Ovis aries: one gene and its partners. The protein of the gene in region 2 binds, or shares a complex with, the protein of the main gene of each other region. Links are inferred from orthologs where the notes say so. Each region holds a gene or a part of one and is shown on either strand. Other genes may lie near its edges.

Region 1 (3,958 bases), about 6.0 Mb from region 2:
ACAGCAGAGATCCCAGCTATTACCTGCCCCAGCCCCTCCATGACAAGAAGGATCTCCCTTCTCAGACTCCTGCTGCCTTTTCCCGCCTTGGAGGAGGATGGTCATTCGGGAGCTACCCCTTCATCCCATTCCCCCTTCAGATGAGGTCCCTGGTAGGGCCAGCCCGGAGCTGAGGCTCCAGTAATGCAAAAAAGCCTCTCATCATCTGCTGAGCTCAGGAAGCACGTTGGCTGCATAAAGCCTGAAATCTCATAAAGGTCAGTTTTAAGATCCCCTTTTGCAGATAAGGAGGCTTCCAAGAGGTGACAAAATTTGCCTGCAGTTTCACAGGCCACCTGGATCTCTGTGACTCTGAGGTTGGAGCTTTTCCCATTCCTGGGCTTGCACTCCCAGGGGGCTCTGATAGTTGCTCAAACCCAGAAACCCCAGGGTTAAGGATCAGATGAACACTGCCCCGTTTCTACCCATCCTGTAGATAAAGAGCTTGAGACTGACAAAAACCACCACCACTAACACCAAGGATAGGAGCCGAGCTTTTAATACCCCAATTTGCCTTCATCTCCAGGCAGAGCTGGGGAGAGGTAGAGCTTCCCGCTTTGGTATGTAGTTGAGGAGGGGCATTTATGAGGCGGCTGGATTCTGATGTCCCAGAGTCCCAGCCAGCCTCGCAGCAGCAAGGACTCTCTGGAGTGGAGAACGGACTGGAGCCGCTGAAGGCTTGCCCAGCAAGGGAGCTAAAATCTGTGATCTGTGAACTTCCCTGGGGGAAGGTGGGTCCAGCTGGATTTCCCACACTTTTGTTTTTTAAGCTCTTTTTGAGACAAAGGTGATGTTGGGGACCCAGCTCTTCGTTAAATGTGGGCAGGTGAACATAACTTCTAGAAGCTCCATACGGGCCCAGAGATGCTGAAGCCTGGGTGCTGGGCAGGAGAGCTAGTGGTTTTTCAGATGCCGAGAGCAAGACCTGTCTCTCTGTGGGTTGCACTGGAAGGGAATGGCCCGCGTCATGGGGGCTCTGCACTGGCCCCAGACTCTGGTCCTCTGATGTTGTTTTCTTGTGTTTTTGTTTTCTTCTCAGGCCTGATGACTGCACTCTGCATTTCCTTGACTGTCCTTCCCTGTGGCCCACCACCCAGCGCTGGTCTGGCCTTGCTGTCTGTCTAATGTTTATAAGCCTGATGAGGCTGGATGCTTAGGGCTTTGCCCAATCTCAAAATGGTCGCTATCAAGAGGAGATGATCATAGGAATGAATTACTTATATTAATTGATATTATTCATAATGTTAACTACAGTCTGTCCAGCTCCTTACTATTTACAAAGAGCTCACACACGCAAGCACACGTGCACACACACACACACACACACACACACAATCTCATTTGATCTTCCCAGCAGCCATGTGAGGAGAGATTTGGAATTCCCATTGTATGGGGGAAGAAAGTGAGGCCCAAGGACAAAACAACTGCTCAAGGTCATCAGCCAAGGGCGAGCTGCTGCTGCTGCTAACATGTTATGAGAGAATGACTATGCCCTCCCGACCCGTTCATCTCTCCATCCACGTCTCCATTCATTCCTTCCTTCCTCCACCTAGCATTTATTAATAAGCACCTACGGCGTGCCCCGTCATGTGCTACTCACTTATCCCTAAGCTGGGACACTTTTCCAGAGCAAGAGCTCTTGTGTAGCTGAGAGATGAGCTGAGGGGAGCGGAGCTACAGTGGGCCCCCGGGAAATCAGGACTCCAGATCGGGCCGCCCCTGCCAAGTGAGGCGCCTCCTGTTTCGCTCATTGATTCGTTTGCATTTGGTTGGTTGGTTTTTGTGTTTACACTCAGGGAGCCTGTGAGAGCTGGTTCCAACAGGCGCGGCTCCGGATGGAGCTGCTGAGGCTGGGGTGGGGTGGGGGCTGGGGGACTCCTGCGGCTGGCCATGGAGTCCCTGGAGGGGCTTAGGCAGGCGCCACCTGGCTGGTCTCTGTCTTGGAGACGGTGGTGGAGGCCTCGTCATCACCCAGCGGGTTCTTGCCACAGCAGAGGGTGGTAAGCATGCAGTTCCGGAACTGGAAGGAAGAGGTAGGGTTAGGGTAGGGGTGCTCAGGGTCCCGCAGAGTCTGGGTGGGAAATGGCATTGTCAGCGCGGTGTGCCATCTCCCTCTTCTGCCTCTGGCCCTCCCAGCCTCCGATCCCCGGTCAGATGGCTGGGACCAAACCCGAAGGGACTCTGTCACTGGTGACGTGCCATGATGCCCTCAGTGTGCCAAGAGCCATCTGGAAGTTATCCCATTGAACCCAAGAGTTTAGGATTTCATCCTTTCCATGGATGAAGAAACTGAAATCCAGAAAAGGGAAGTGACTTGCCCAAGGCCACACAGCTAAAACCTAGCACAACTGGGATTTGAACCCGATCTGTCTGACTCCAGGTTTTCCCCACTGGACCAAAGAACCTGCAGAGGAACCTCTGGTCTATGTTAAAAGGACTGCTTTATCCCTTCATCCCTCAGAACGAGACTTTTTGGCATCCTGTCCAGCTTTGTGGAGACTGGCACCTGTTCCCAGGCCCGGGACTTTGACCGTCTGGACTTTCAGAACCATCTGGACTGGCGCTTCTCTTTCCTAAGCCAGTGTCAGAGGGCTTGTTAGAAATGCATATTCCTGGGCCCACCCTGAGCTTCTAATCAGAAGGTCTGGGGGTGGGTCCAGGAATCTGCATCTCTCCCGGATGACTCATGATCACCCCAGGGAAAACCAACACCCACCCACCCACCCCGCCCATTTTGCAGGTGGAAAGACTGAGGCCCGATTAAGACTGCGGCTTCTCCACCTGTCGCCTCGGGGGGAACCTGGCCCCTTCCCACCCCACCAGCAGGCACCTGCTTGTTCATCATGATGTAGATGACGGGGTTGTAGACGGAGGAAGACTTGGCAAAGAAAGCCGGGATGGTCATGAAGATGGGGCCAAAGTCGGAGCCCTGATGGGTGAAGATGTAGAACGCCACCCCGGCGTAGGGCAGCCAGCAGATCAGGAAGGCGATGACCATGATGATCACCATGCGGGTGACCTCCTTCTCGGCCTTCTGAGTGGTGGCCGACTCCTGCTGCTGGGCAGCCGCCTGCGGGGACACAGGGCCCGGTGTCCAGACTCGAGGCTCCTCTGGGCCGGGGGCCGCGCTCAGCCTCATCAACGCTCTTGTCCCCAGCCCCACAGCACCGGTCCCCCAAGGACCCTACCTCCTTGACGGTGAACACCAGCTGCCCGTAGCAGAAGAATATGACGATCAGGGGGATGGAGAAGTGGACCACGAACATGTAGATGACGAACGACTCATTGTTGATCTCCGGCTTGAGCGTGTAGTAGTCAATCCCGCACGAGCACTGCATGCCCTCCGGGATGTACCTGAGGCCCGGGAGGGGCAGGGGCCGGAGGGGCAGGGGGAGACCCGCGTGTGAGGGACCGGGGAACAGGCCCCGCTGGCCAGAGTCCTCTGCCAACGCCTGCAGCAGGGCTGCCCTCACTCTGGGCCTCACTTCCCCCCTCTGTAAAATGGGGATAATAAACCTTTCCTTGGCTGTGAGGCTCACATCTACTGAGATAAGGGATCCAAGTGTGTGGAAACAGTGTTGTTGCCTCGTTCAGCGCTGTGTTACCCTGGGACCCTGGTCTCTCCCAGTCTCTCACTCCCCGCGCCCCTACTCTGCCCCCCTGCTTCCCTGCCTGGCGCTTCTTCAGCCGGCCTACCACTCCCAAGTGGCTGGAGGCCAGGCCTCGGACCATGAGGTAGGTGGGGAGAAGGGAAAAGCTCCCAATGTCTGTATTGCAGGCACCCAGGTCTTTTTAGGCCGCTCAGGGTAATTAAGGGATTTTTGCACAGTTTCTGGAAACAAGAGGCCCTGGGGCGTGTGGTTAGGGCGTGTGATTTCAGAGGACGGTGACACTGAACCGACCCCAGGAAACCCACTGT
Region 2 (4,112 bases):
TCTGGGCTCCGGGTCCCCACTCAGACAGCTCCAAGACTCTCCTTCTCCTCCCACTCACCCACTCTCCCTCATCTCCTGATGAGGAGGCTGCCTCGTCTCCTCCTGCAGAGGGCTCTGGGACGAACACCCTCTCTCAGATGCTCCCAGCGGCCCGCCTGCAGCGCCGGCTCCCCTTCCTCCTCTCCCCCTCCCCGCTCAGTCGCCCAGGCCCGGCCCAGACGCTCACCACTTCGTCATCCTCCACCAGCACCATGTCGTAGGCGCTCAGCGCCGCGATGAAGATGATGCAGGTCACCCCCTCGAAGCAGTGGATCCACTTCTTGCGCTCTGAGCGCTGCCCGCCCACATCGAACATCCTGCGGGGCCGTGAGCACCGGAAACCCGGGCATCAAGTCCCCCGGAGACGCCCACGGGCATCCCCTGGCTTCCTGATGCTGGCTGGGAAGCACCCAGATGGGCCTGGCATCCGGAGGGACCGGACTTCTCTGCCGGTGGGGTGCTGGAGAAGTGGCAGGGTCTCTAGAAGGGCTGGGACCTCTGAGACCAGCAGGCCTCGGGCAGTGAACTTGGGGAAGGCCTCCCCACTCCAGAGCAGGAATCAGGGCTCAGTGTCCTACCGAAAGTTGAGGTCCTTGAAGGAGAACTGCGTCTCAATGATACCCGTGGTCTTGACACGGGAGCGCAGCACATCCTGTTCCGTGGGCACGTAGCCCGGGGTTACCAGGCGCTCCAGGTCTGAGAGATAGCTGTGGGAGATACGGGGTGTGGGTAGGGTTGGGTGGAGGGATGTGCCAGGGCCCTGCCTGCCCTCCACCCCTGCACCTGGCCTGTGCTCTCACTAGCCAGCAGAGTCGTTGAGCTGGTACTCCGAGGCTCGCTCGAAACAGGCCTGGATGCCGGAGTCCTTCCACAGCCGCTGGATGATATCTGACATCTCCTTGGGCATCGTACCCTCCTCGATGGTGTCTGCCATGTGCATCAGCTTCCGGGCGTCGTCCTGAGAGCAGGGGAGTGGTTGGCGGTAACCAGGGGCTGGGGCCCAGCCTCGGATCCCCAGAAGCCCTGTTCAGCTAGTCTCTTGGCACACCTGGCGCGCAGAGTCTCCGTACTGGATGTTGAGCGTGGTCATGGCACGCACGATGGCCAGGATGGACTGTAGCGTGTTGCCATAGATGATGGCAATGAACTCGAGACACTCTTCCAGTGAGTACCCGTCCTGGTGGATAATCCTACAGCCACAGGAGCTGGGTTAGCACCTCTTGGGTGGGTCGGGGATCAGACCTCCAGAGCACGCCCACCCCCAGGGCCTCGGTAGGGCAGGGGCACCACCCACCCCCAGGGCCTCAGGTAGGGTGGGGGCACTCACTTCATCTGCTTGACAATGGTACTCTTCCCGGATTCACCGGCACCTGGATTGGAATGGAAACCCGGCCTCGGAGATCCGCAGACCACACTGTCCCCTCTATCCCACCCGTTTCCCTACCACACTCCCAAAATAACGTCCTAATGCTCCGGCAGCAAAACCTAAATGTCAGGAGTGACCAAAGTGGGCTGACGAGGCTAATGGACAACCTCAACTCTGTCCTGGAGCCTCCAACACCTTGTAGGCTGTCTTATTTTTCGGAGGCCAAAAATAAAGAAACCTGGAGCTCCACCTTGTGGACGGTTCTGGTACTACGCGCATGGGATTATTTGAGCCAGGTCAACCCCTGCTTTTCCACCTGAGGTGGAAGGGAGTGACCCCAAGAGGCTCAGAGGGAATTAGCACGTTTTGCTGGGGGAGAAGACAGAGCTGACAGTCCTTCTGAGCCTGCTCTCGTGTGGGTGTCGGGCGCAGTTAATGGGATTTCTGGCTTAGCCTGTCTTTCCTGGGGTACTCTGGTTTGGTCTCTTTACACACATTCACCTGTCTGGCTGAACCCTGGACAGCCTTGGTGAAGCCTGAGGTGCCTTCTCAAAGCAGTTCCTTCCTTCGGTGGTGGTGGCAGGAGGAAGTACTAGATCAGACCTATGTCCCCTCACTACCCATGGGACCAAGTATCTATTCTCCGCTGGGCCTTAGTAGCCCTCTACACCTTTCAGTTGTCCTGCAGGTCTGCCAGCAATGAAGCTCTGGAAACTGAGGGCCACTGTGTGTGGACCTGGGAGGTCCTGGAAGCTACCTACTCTCAGGAGGACTGTGACCTTCTCCTTCCCAAGGCAGCAGCCTTGTTGTGGTGCTCCCAATGAGGCCCCTGGCTTCTGAGCCCTGCCCAGCAGGCCCGTCAAGCTAAAGGCTGCAGTTTGAGGGAACATAGCCTGGGCAAAAGTGGGCCTTGAACACACGTCTCTCAAAAAAGTGTGATTGGCACACACATCTTGGGAGGGGAGGTTGCCTGAGGTTTGAGCCCTCCAGAGAGGGTTTCTGTGGGATACCTAGCCTTAGGGAGCCAAAAGTATCGCCCATCAGGCCTGGTCTTGCTTGGCCTGGACTCCACTCTGTTGCTAGGCTGTAGGCTCATTCTGTTTCCCAAATCACACCTGCTTCACAGAAGGGCCACCTGCTTGCCCCCAGGCCTCTGACTGGCAGATGTGGCCCCTCCTCAGCCCACCCCCTTACCCAGAAGCAGCAGTTTCACGGTTCGAGCATCTTTCTCAGCATCTTCTTTCAGCTTCTTTTCCAGCTCCCTTGAGTGCTTCTCCTCAGCGCTGGCCCCAGCCCCCATGGTCCTGGCAGGAGGTGAAGGAGGAGGGCCGTGAGTTGGTTCTTCCGGATGGAGGGGTTCCCCAGAGCCAGGCTCGGGCTAGCCTCTGGCCTCCTCGGACACCCTTCTGACCCCCGAACTGGGAATCCAATGGCTGTCTGCAGATCTGTGCAGGGCCTGGTGGGGCTGCTTAGTAGGATTTGGGGGTTGTTGGTATCTAAGAGCCAATCAGAGACAAGGACAGGTGAATCCAGCTCAGCCCCCAGCCCTCCTAATCAGGCTGGCATAGCCCCAATCCCTCAACTGCTGACTCTGCACCCCCCTCTCTGCCGCTCCCCAAACCCTCTGGGAGAGACCCTGGAGGTAGTCCAGCCCTTGCTCCAAAGCAGGGGGACAAGTTCTGGGGGGTTCAGGCTCAGAAAGGGGAAGAGAGGGCCTCAGTTCTGGGGGTGGGGGTAATGAGGGGTGGGCCTGGGAGCAGGGAGGAGGAGAAGCCTGCAAGGAGCACCTGCCCACTGCCTAGTACTGGGCTCAGCACTGCTCCTTGCCGAGCTCACAGCAGCCTGGCGGATGCCCCACATCCCTGCACCGATGAGGAAGCGGAGGCTCAGAGGATCACACTGCAGGAGGTGGTTGAGAAGGGCCGGTGACTCCAGGCCAGGGTTCCACGCTCAACAGGGAGTCAGGAAGGAAATGTGGACATTGCATTTGCCCTGTGCCAAGGGCTGGATCCAACCCGGTGAGGCCTCTCCCTGCCTCCATGATTCATACAGACTTGGGTGCGTGTGCGTGTATCCTGTACTGGTGTCAAGCAAGGCAATGACATATGTTTGTGTATACCTGCGTGTAAACATGTGCCTGTGGTTTCATGAGTACAAGTGTATGTCTGTGTTTGCCTGTTTGTGTACCACGTGTGTGTGTGCATGGATGTTTTGGTGCACTTCTTATGTGTGTGTTTATATGTGTACTTTGCTACGCTTACGTGGGTTAATGTTGCATGTGTGTGAATGTATAAGCGCATGCACATGTGAAATGCGTGTGTGTGGACTTGCCTGTGTGCACGTATCTACCTGTATGTGTGCACACTTGCACGTGTGTGTACCCATAAACTTGAGGTCAGCAGTCTGACCTGCAGACGTGGCCAGGCTCTTCCAGGGAATATCTTGCAGGCCTGTTATCAGATGGGAACACTGAGTCTCAGAGCAGGTCTGGCATTCCCAGGGGAGGAGGGGATGAGCCCCACTCCTCTTCTGTCCCCTGTGGGTGCTCTAGGAGCTGTCAGGGGTATCTCCAGGGCATGCCTGCCTCAGCTTAGGGGTTAGATGTCTGTGAGGTTAGGATGGGACAGGGTGTGCTCCTAAGTGGGAGTGGTTCAGCTGAGCAAGTGGTGTTGAGTTGCAGCCTCTGGAGTTTTGCCATCTCCCATGA
Region 3 (4,350 bases), on a different chromosome or scaffold from region 2:
AAATAGCAGGGCCTGATCCAACCCTCACCACTCTTGCAGCGGCAACTGCAAGCACTCAGGGAGGAGGCCCCAACAGCAAATAGGAAGAAACAGAGAGGTGCAGTGGGGGCTCTGGTGCCAGCACAGCATCACATCCTCCCTGCAGAGGCCCGGAAATCACCCGCTAGGCCCCTAGGCCACCACTGATTTCTCTGGGGCAGGAAGAGGAAGTGAATGTAAAGTCATTCTCTCTTCCCAAGCATGGGGCAGCCCCCTCCAGGAAGCCCTCCTGGTGGCCACCTGGCACTTGGGGTCCAGCAGGGACTACACAGGACTTATGGTGGGGCTGGAGCCCTGGCCTGCCCATCACAGCCCACGGTGGGGAGAGGAGGAATGGAAGTAGGCAGGTCCTGCCTCACCCTGGACACAACTTATTTTCACAGAAAGTAAACACTAATCCAAAGACGTAGGAGGAAAGTGCAGGGCAGAGGAGAGGAAGAGGCAGAACTCAGAACAGCACCCTAGTCGCCCAGCTCCTGGCTCCCCATAGGGTTCCACTCCTTCCCCCATTCCCTAACTTCCAGAGACTCTCCTCTCACTGGAGAACAACTGGCAGTGTGACCTCTGTCTCTTCTACTGCAAACTCAGCCTATCAATCCCTTTGTCCTTAGAGGAAGTGAGGAATGGAAGATGCCCATGGCTCAAGACACCACCTCCACTCCCTCCCCCAGCTGGAGAAGGATGATGCCTGGGACTTGGGGTCAGGCCCGATAAGGGGCAGAGTGGCTGAGGGCTCAGAATGCAACTGCTCCCTTCGCCTCAGCCACAAATAGCTTCCTAAGCTGGATTCAGGTCTGGGTAATCCAGGAAGAACAAACTCAGACCTGTGTGATTAGGGTCAGAGGAGACAGGCAGGGGTGCCAGTGGAAAGATTCCTGGAGCCCTGTTCTCAGCTTCCACAAAGAAGAGGGATCTGGTGAAGACTCTTCCTCTAATCGCCCACAGATGCTGAATCTCTAAGGGCTATGAATTTCCTCCAAATTCAGACACACAGTTGTATATGGGCTAGAAGTCCCTCTGGCTGCAAAATCACCTCGAAAGTTACCTAGGACTGGGACAAGTTAGACATCCTATAGGGAAGTTCTGCCCCAGAGCTAACCTGAATCCTAAATGCTACTGTTGCCAATTATAGCCCAACTGGCACCACCATCAGACTGGTCCAGGCACCTTCCCCCTATTACTGCCTGCTTGGGTAAGGCAGTTCAGTGCTCCGAGGGCCCAGCCAAGAATGACTGCTGCCTGGCTAAGAGAGGAGGGAGATGCTGGTCCCCTGGGGACCCAGATGCACAGGCCTAGACCTGCCATCACAGTCCCCTCCACAGCTGTTTGGAAGCCCTGGACTCTTCTGCTCCTGCAGCACCAGAGCTCAGGTCCAGTCCAGCAACTGCTCCCTACCCTCACAGGGGGACTCCAAAAGTTGCCCTCACAGAGGGAGCCAGGGCAGGGGTACTAACCAATGAGGCCAAGATAGAAGGCCACTGCCTCTCCAAGTGCCTTCTGTTCTTTCAGGCTCAGCCGCGGCCTCTGCCATGAGACTTCCCTCCCTTGTTCCCTGCCTACGGTGACCCCCTCCCCCGCCCTGAATGCCCATTTGTCTGCCTCCAGGCAGCAGCCATGAGCAGTCCTGTGGGGCCCTCAGTATTGACAAAAGAGCCCTATTTACACAGCATGCACGGCCTGCCAGGCACAGTGCAAAATCACAGGATTTATTTTCACAACAGCTCTCTAAAGTTAGGGGTCATTATTCCCATTTTACAGACGAATATGCTCAGAGAGGTGAAGTTATTAGCCCAAGGTCACACAGCCAATAGGACGGCAAAGCTGGAACTTCAGTTTGGCAATCCAGCTCAGAAACTCAACCACAGTGGTGGCTTGGCCTCCCAGAAGAGGACAGGCCCTAGTTCAGGCTAAAGGGGGTATTAACCCACTTCCTTGAGAAGCCCAGAGTCAAAGCACTGAAGCTTCCTCTTCAGGTCCTTTCCTGGAGAGAGTGATGGCCCCAGACTTCCTGGGGGTGTCCAGTGTGAAGGAGACCTAAGGGTTTTGATACCACACGTAGCCTCTAGGGTGGAGGAGACTGGGGACTGACTGCATTCAGCCCCCTCCTCATTATTGCAGAGAAGATCTTCAAAAAACTCTGAAGACTCTGTGGGGAGGGGGTCACAGTTGCAGCTGCTGCCCCACCTCCACCATGGGAAAGGGGGATGGACTCCTCAAAAAGGAAGGAAAGGGGTGGAAACGAATCTCTAAAGGGACAAGGCGAGCGCAGAGAGAGATCGAGGAAAGGGGGGACATGGAGATCTCAGGCTTGGAGGCAGAAGGGTAGAGGACACAAGAGAGGGGCACCCGGGTGGGGGAGGGGAGGCGGGGGAGGGCGGGAAAGGGGGCGGGGGCCCAGACTCTGCGCGCCCGGAGGGCCCCCTCTCGCGCTCTCTCACTCCCGCCCGCGGGTGATGCTGCCTCGCGGGTGCTCACCGCCGGTGATCCGCTGCAGCCCCAACACGTCCTCCGGCCCGATCGGCTGCTTCCTCTGCAGCGGCCCCGGCCTGGGCCCCGGGCCTGCCTCCGGCTCCGACTCGGACCCGGATTCGGATTCCGCCTGCAGCTCCGGCTTGGGCTCCACGTTCGGGCCCGAGGCCCCTGGAGCGTGCTCCGCTCCCGTCCCGGCCCCGCCGCCGCCCTTCTTCACCTTCATGGCCTCGCGGGGCCGCGGCTCGCCTGCTGCCGCCGCGGCTGCCTGCGCCGGCTGGAGCCGAGAGAAGGGGGAGCGTCCGCAGCCCCGCCCCCGGCCGGACCGGAGCCCCAGGTACCGCCCCGCCCCCGGGGTGGGCCCGGGGCTGACCCCGCCCACCGCCCGCCCACCTGGGCTACGGACCCGGGGCAGGGAGGGGGCCCGCCCGGGGACGTCGTTCATTTTTCCGGTAGGGGTTTTCAGGGTCCTGGCTACCTACCCCTTCTTATTCGCTGGCTTCCAGCCACTCCGCCCTTCCCTCTGCCCCTCGCACATGAGTTCGCGTCTCAGGGCCTGGGATGCTCTTCCCCCAGAGGTGGCCTCCTCTCGTTCTTCCGGTCTCAGCTCAAATGTCATCTGCTCAGAGGCCCTCTCAGACACCCCATCACTATCTGATCAGCCTGTTTTTTCTAATGCATCATCTGAAATTCGTTTCATTTGCTCACTGACCAGTCCTCCTACAAGACCAGTTCGGTGAAACTGGAGATCTCGTCTCTGTTCTCTAGAATACCCAGCACTTAGTCCAGTGCCCACTGCAGCTTGCACTCAACACAGTTGACCCTTGAACAACATGGGTTTGAAGTGAGTGGGTCCACCTATCTGGATTTTTTTTCAATAGAAAATACTACAATACTACACGATGGGAGGTTGGCTGAATATGTGGGTATGCAACTGCAGATAAACAAGGCCAAATATAAATTATTGTCTGAGTTTTGAATGCGCAGAGGGTAGGCATCTCACCCACTACGTTGTTCAAGGGCCAACTGTATATTCTTTTTTAGAATTTATGAATCAGTTAGTATCTGAGAGCTTACACTGCTACTCCTCTCCCAGACCCCCTGCTAGATAACCCAGGAAATTCTGAGGGACAACAGCCTACAATGTCTAGTCACCACAGGGCCCTCCAGGACAGGAAAGGTAGGAAGGGCACCTGGCTAGGTGGAAGTAAAACGGACCCAGTGAGCCGAGGAAGACAGACAGGAGGAAACCATGACTTACACACGAATGAAGAATGAAAGGTATGATCACACTTCATATCATTCCAGTTCATATTCAACCAATGTTTATTGAGAGCCTAGAATATGCCAGACACTTTCACAAGCTCATCACATTTAATCCTCACAACCACCCTGTAAGGGAGGTGTCATTAGTGCTATTTTAACAAAAGAAAAACTGAGGCTCAGAGAGGATTAAGTAGCTTATTCAAAGCTCCCCTGATATTAAGTGCAGAAGCAAGGGTTGAATTCAGACATGTTGGATCCCAAGTCCAGAACTCTCCCCACTGTACCACACTGCCTCTATAAAGGGATGAGGAAGGGAAGCTCTGCCACACACAGCATCAGGCTGCACCCACCAAGTGTAGCCACCCAGGAGGAAGGGAGAAGGCCCCAGAGATGACACGGGCCTGGCCCCTTCTAGAAGAGCAGTGCTAGGGCTCTCTCTGAGGGATCAGAGAGAAGCAGGAGGGAAGGGCCCTAGATCCCACCCAGGGCTTTTCCCTAATGCTCCCACTCAGTGCAAGAGGACTGTGAGGAACAGGGCAGAAAGATAAGCTGCCCCTGCTGCAGTGGGAGACAGTA
Region 4 (4,069 bases), on a different chromosome or scaffold from region 2:
CAGGGGGTCACGGCGGGCAGTGGAGTAGAGGGGCCAAGGGCGGGGATCCAGGGCTAGATGATGCCGTACTGGGCCAGCTCGTGCAGCTCCAGGTGGTTGAAGGCCTCCCACGGGCAGATGACGGTGATGTCTGCAGGACAAGGGGGCAGTAGGTTGAGGGTCCCATGGCTGCTGGCGCCACCATGCCCTCTGGGCCCTGTTGTCCACACCCCAGTGGTGAGGGTACAGGGTCCTTGGGCATAGAGCCCTCCTCTCAGGACACACCACCTTTGGGGGGTATCAAATGGGTTCCCTGCCCAGGAAGAGAGTGGGTGCAGCAGGCCTGGAAGAGGCGGGGTGGAAGGTGGGCCTTGCTGCTGGTGAGAGGGGTTGGGGTGGGGACAGCAAGAGCTTTGTTCCTCCCAGCCCCTCCAAGCACCCACTGAAGGAACGACCCCACTCTGAAGCTTGCAGTCGGGAAAGGGAATGAATCACAGCTAGGGGGAGGTGCCCTCTGCCTGGGGTGGGGGGCTGGGCCTCAGGCACTCTGGGTGGTGGGCGAGCAGGGGGACCTAGGTGGACACTTGTGGTTGTCATACCTGTTCCCAGGCCTTCCATTCCAGGGATGTCATCACCAAACCTGCAAGGACAGAGCAGTCAGGGCCGGTGGCCAGGAAGAGAGGAGGGGTGTGGGGGACGTGCGTGTACTTGAGTGCAGGTTCCTGGGAACGTGGTGTGTCTGAGTGTGTCCTGGGTGTGTACAGATAGGGCTGCGTGTGTGGAGATGCACATCAGTTAGTGGGGTGCTGGTTGAGTGTCTGGGTGATGGCGTGGATGGGTGTGCTTTCCAGACCTTTCAGCAATAACAGCTAAAAAGGACACCCCTCCCCATCCCCAGGGAATGGGGACCCTGAGACAGGCCAGCTCAAGCCCCCAAGAACTGCCCCACCAGCTTAGGAGGATGGGATTGCCTTCCACCAGAAAAGGGTGGTGTGAGGCCCCACCCAGCCCCCCACCTGCAGTGCAGCCCCCCTCCCTCCTGTACAGCTGGTGGGCCCTCCACCCCCTCTCAGAGCCACCCCTCCCACAGCTCTGCTTACCCTTGGACACCTTTCTTGGGGGGCTTGCTCTTGAACTGCCTGGTTTGCCGCTGCTTAAATTTCGGGGGCCCTTTCCTGGGAGTGACGGGTCCCCCCATCACCCTGGTGGCCGACCGGATCTCGGCCTTGGGTGGCTCCAGGTTCATGGCCAGGTTGGCAGAGATCCCGCAGCGACCTTCAGCTTCTGGACTGCCCCACGCTCTGGGCCCTCCTGCTTCCGACCCTCCTCGCCAATCTCAGCTCCCTGGAACAGAGGAAACCCTGCAATATGAGACCCACCGGTTCCCAGTAGGACTTGGATGGCAGTCCCCTGACCCGGGGAGCCTCTGCCAACTGCACTTGGGGCCCAAATGAGGACCGGGAAGGGGGTGAGAGCGCTGGGTGGTCCCCAGGGGCAACCTCCTTATGGCTTCCTCCTTCTGCATTCCCCATCCCAATCTCTGGGGTGGAACACTCAGCCTCATTTATGGTGGCATGTTGGGCACCCAATGGCGCCTAAAAGTAGCCTGAGAAATGGGAGGGCAGGGGAGGGGCCTGTGTCACAATGAAACCCCCAACCGGGCTGTGTAGCCTTGGTTCCAGCAGCGTCTTCCCTCTGTTGGTAAACATAACCCCTCCACCTGCCACCACTCGCTAGGTGCCAGCATCACCTGCTGGTGTCCTTGAACCCACCGCATGGAGTGGCCTCCCTTCCTCCTCTCCCCCAGAGCTTCCCCCTGGATGCCCTAAGCCCTGGTGACCTTGGCCACGGGAAGCTCACCTTCCTTTAAGCCTATTAGCACCAGGGGTAGACTAATCTCTCAGGAAGCACTGTGAGCCCAGAAGGTTCTGGGGCTAAGTACATGACACAGCCAGGAGCCGTAGCTACCCTGGCACTGGATGCCCCAGGCATCACCTCTTGGGGCCCCTTTTCTTGTCCCCCATTTGTGGGCTGCAATGCCTGACTTCTGTCTGGGGCCACTACCCACTGCCTGCTAGAGTTTAAGGGCTGAGACCAGTTGGGAGGCAAGGACAGCTGGTTCTGTCAAGACCAGCGAGGAAGGCCTGGCCATGAGGACCAGGGCACCTAGAGTTGGATGGGCCCTGCTGTGGACCTCCCCTCCCTAAGTTTTGGCCTCTGTGCTGGGACCAGCATCAGCCTGAGAGGAACCGGGGGTCAGGGGCCAGATCTACACTGGGTTCAAGGTGGACAGCGGCAGGTCTGGTGGCCCTGGTGGCTCAAACCCCACAACACCCACTCCTCACGGCCCAGGCACTGTAGGCCCAGCCAGACCCTTTCCCCAGTTCCAGGCCATGGGCCTGGTGCGGGCAGTTCTTAGACCTGATGGAGCTCCAACTATCAGATGCTACCCCATGGAAACCGCTGCCTGAGCTTCCCTGGCTCCAGCCTGGCCTGTAGCTTGTGCCCATTTAGGTTGGTTGAGTGTGTGTGGCCTGAAGCTCCGAGACCATTGCTAGCCTCGGGGACAGCCTGCACCACCGTCTGACATGGGGAGCAGAGGATGTGATAGGCTGGGCATCCTCTCTGAACAGGGTTGTGGGTGGCTTCCCATAGACCCAGACCTCAGGACGGTGGTGAAAAGCCCACCAGCTCCCCACCCTCTGGACAGATACCCACTAACACCCTTGGGTAAGTGGCCACCGGGAAAGGCAACCTGAGAAGGTCGCTACTCACCAGGTTCCAGGGCAGCAGGTCTCAGGGGACCATGGGTGTGAGTGGCAGGCCTCCCTCAGCAGGGCGCTGGCTGGGCATTTATCCTGCAGCTGGATAAGCTGATTAGGACTGTGCCTGACACCACACTAATGAGATTGTGGGGTTGGGTAGCACTACCGAGGACTCCCCCGAGATGGGGGAAGGGGCTCAGGTGTGGTCAAGGGAAGGACAATCTGGGGACAGGGTCAGGGCAGGCAAGGGATGTATGATCATGAACAACCAGCCTCTCCTGAAGCTGCTTGTTTTTTAAAAAAATATTTATTTGCTATGCTGGGTCCTAGTTGTGGCATGCGAGATCTGAAGTTGCAGCATGGGAACTCTTAGCTGTGGCATGTGGGATCTAGGTCCCAGATCCGGGGTTGAACCCAGGCCCCCTGCATTGGAAGTACGGAGTCTTAACCCCTGGACCACCAAGAAGTCCCTGAAGCTGCTCATTTTTGAAGCAAAGATGATACGGCACTGGCTGCCATCTCAGGCCTCTCTCCACTTTCAGTCCTGACTGCTGAGGAACCCCTTTCTGGCCCCCAAAGCCAGGTAGCCTGGTCCTGATTCACTTTGGTGGCCTCACCTCTCATCCCTCCCTCCTGCTGTGTGTTCTAAGGAACTCCTTCCACCCAAGGGCCTTTGCACCTGCTGTTCCCACCAAGTGGTGCATTTTCGACATCTCTCCCCTTCCCCTAGCTTCCTCCTCCTGGGACTTCACAAAGATCAACCCCAGGTTCATATACACATAGAAAATCTTTCTTTTTTTTCATAAATATGTTTTATTGAGAAAAGTACAGTAAACTTCTTCTTACATCTCTGAGATTAACTATCTCTATGTTGTAGACCCCTTTGGGGCCTCAGGCCCACTAAGGTCTGTTGTGCTTTTGTCTCCAGGGAAATCTTTTCCTGGGCCATTTTCAAATCTGTAGTACATGATTGAAGTAGATGGTCTCTAACATAAAGTGTAACAAACCTGTATTGCTACTATCATGTTTCTCTGAAAAAACCACAACTGCTTCTGGATATCATTAGCTGGCCAAGACAGCTGGCACTACTGGGTATATCCTCAGGCATTAGCACAGCAGCATGTCTTGTGGCTGTGTCGTTTCATTCTTTTGTCCACAGATCTGCCTTTGTGGAAAATGCTGGCTTTACACTGAAGGCCTCTACCTGGGAAGGCCTGTTTTATCAGCTCAACTCCTTCATGACGTCAGATCACAACCCTAGCTTTTCTTTTAAATGAGGAGATAAAATAGGCATAAATTCGTTTAACCCTGTCCATCCAGGCCAC

What was found.
Region 1: the proteins of GNAT1 (region 2) and RHO are in contact, whole or in part, in a cryo-EM structure (PDB 6OYA), measured with the Bos taurus proteins. The link is inferred for Ovis aries from reciprocal best matches to the Homo sapiens genes GNAT1 and RHO. Residues at the interface, in NP_851365.1 of Bos taurus: Ala27, Arg28, Asp189, Leu190, Val312, Glu314, Tyr316, Asp333, Ala334, Asp337, Ile340, Lys341, Asn343, Leu344, Lys345, Asp346, Cys347, Gly348, Leu349, Phe350; in NP_001014890.1 of Bos taurus: Leu72, Arg135, Val138, Val139, Lys141, Ser144, Asn145, Phe146, Arg147, Val230, Ala233, Gln236, Gln237, Ser240, Thr242, Thr243, Lys245, Ala246, Glu249, Val250, Met253, Met257, Asn310, Lys311, Gln312.
Region 3: the proteins of GNAT1 (region 2) and UNC119 are in contact, whole or in part, in a crystal structure (PDB 3RBQ), measured with the Homo sapiens proteins. The link is inferred for Ovis aries from reciprocal best matches to the Homo sapiens genes GNAT1 and UNC119. Residues at the interface, in NP_000163.2 of Homo sapiens: Gly2, Ala3, Gly4, Ala5, Ser6, Ala7, Glu8; in NP_005139.1 of Homo sapiens: Asp87, Phe88, Val89, Arg90, Phe91, Ile105, Lys106, Lys107, Gly126, Arg127, Phe128, Val129, Tyr131, Phe137, Val147, Glu163, Leu172, Ser218, Tyr220, Asn230.
Region 4: the proteins of GNAT1 (region 2) and PDE6G are in contact, whole or in part, in a cryo-EM structure (PDB 7JSN), measured with the Bos taurus proteins. The link is inferred for Ovis aries from reciprocal best matches to the Homo sapiens genes GNAT1 and PDE6G. Residues at the interface, in NP_851365.1 of Bos taurus: Ser140, Arg201, Arg204, Lys205, Trp207, Ile208, Phe211, Asp227, Val229, Glu235, Val236, Asn237, His240, Glu241, His244, Leu245, Ser248, Ile249, Ile281, Phe283, Glu305, Leu306, Met308; in NP_776846.1 of Bos taurus: Arg36, Gln37, Phe38, Lys39, Ser40, Lys41, Pro42, Pro43, Lys45, Leu60, Val66, Ile67, Cys68, Pro69, Trp70, Glu71, Phe73, Asn74, His75, Leu76, Glu77, Leu78.

What each region holds. Positions count from the first base shown.
Region 1 is NC_056072.1:56,173,735-56,177,692, forward strand, and holds the end of RHO (rhodopsin), read right to left. Parts: intron 3,394-3,958; coding exon 3,228-3,393; intron 3,110-3,227; coding exon 2,870-3,109; intron 2,060-2,869; coding exon 1,949-2,059; 3' UTR 523-1,948; downstream 1-522. UniProt on the Homo sapiens protein: Photoreceptor required for image-forming vision at low light intensity. Required for photoreceptor cell viability after birth.
Region 2 is NC_056072.1:50,208,432-50,212,543, forward strand, and holds the start of GNAT1 (guanine nucleotide-binding protein G(t) subunit alpha-1), read right to left. Parts: upstream 2,837-4,112; 5' UTR 2,706-2,836; coding exon 2,600-2,705; intron 1,410-2,599; coding exon 1,367-1,409; intron 1,230-1,366; coding exon 1,088-1,229; intron 998-1,087; coding exon 840-997; intron 747-839; coding exon 618-746; intron 357-617; coding exon 227-356; intron 1-226. UniProt on the Homo sapiens protein: Functions as a signal transducer for the rod photoreceptor RHO. Required for normal RHO-mediated light perception by the retina.
Region 3 is NC_056064.1:19,957,836-19,962,185, forward strand, and holds the start of UNC119 (protein unc-119 homolog A), read right to left. Parts: upstream 2,802-4,350; 5' UTR 2,735-2,801; coding exon 2,515-2,734; intron 1-2,514. UniProt on the Homo sapiens protein: Involved in synaptic functions in photoreceptor cells, the signal transduction in immune cells as a Src family kinase activator, endosome recycling, the uptake of bacteria and endocytosis, protein trafficking in sensory neurons and as lipid-binding chaperone with specificity for a diverse subset of myristoylated proteins.
Region 4 is NC_056064.1:50,649,815-50,653,883, reverse strand, and holds the start of PDE6G (retinal rod rhodopsin-sensitive cGMP 3',5'-cyclic phosphodiesterase subunit gamma), read right to left. Parts: upstream 2,811-4,069; 5' UTR 2,755-2,810; intron 1,324-2,754; 5' UTR 1,226-1,323; coding exon 1,080-1,225; intron 620-1,079; coding exon 579-619; intron 131-578; coding exon 54-130; 3' UTR 1-53.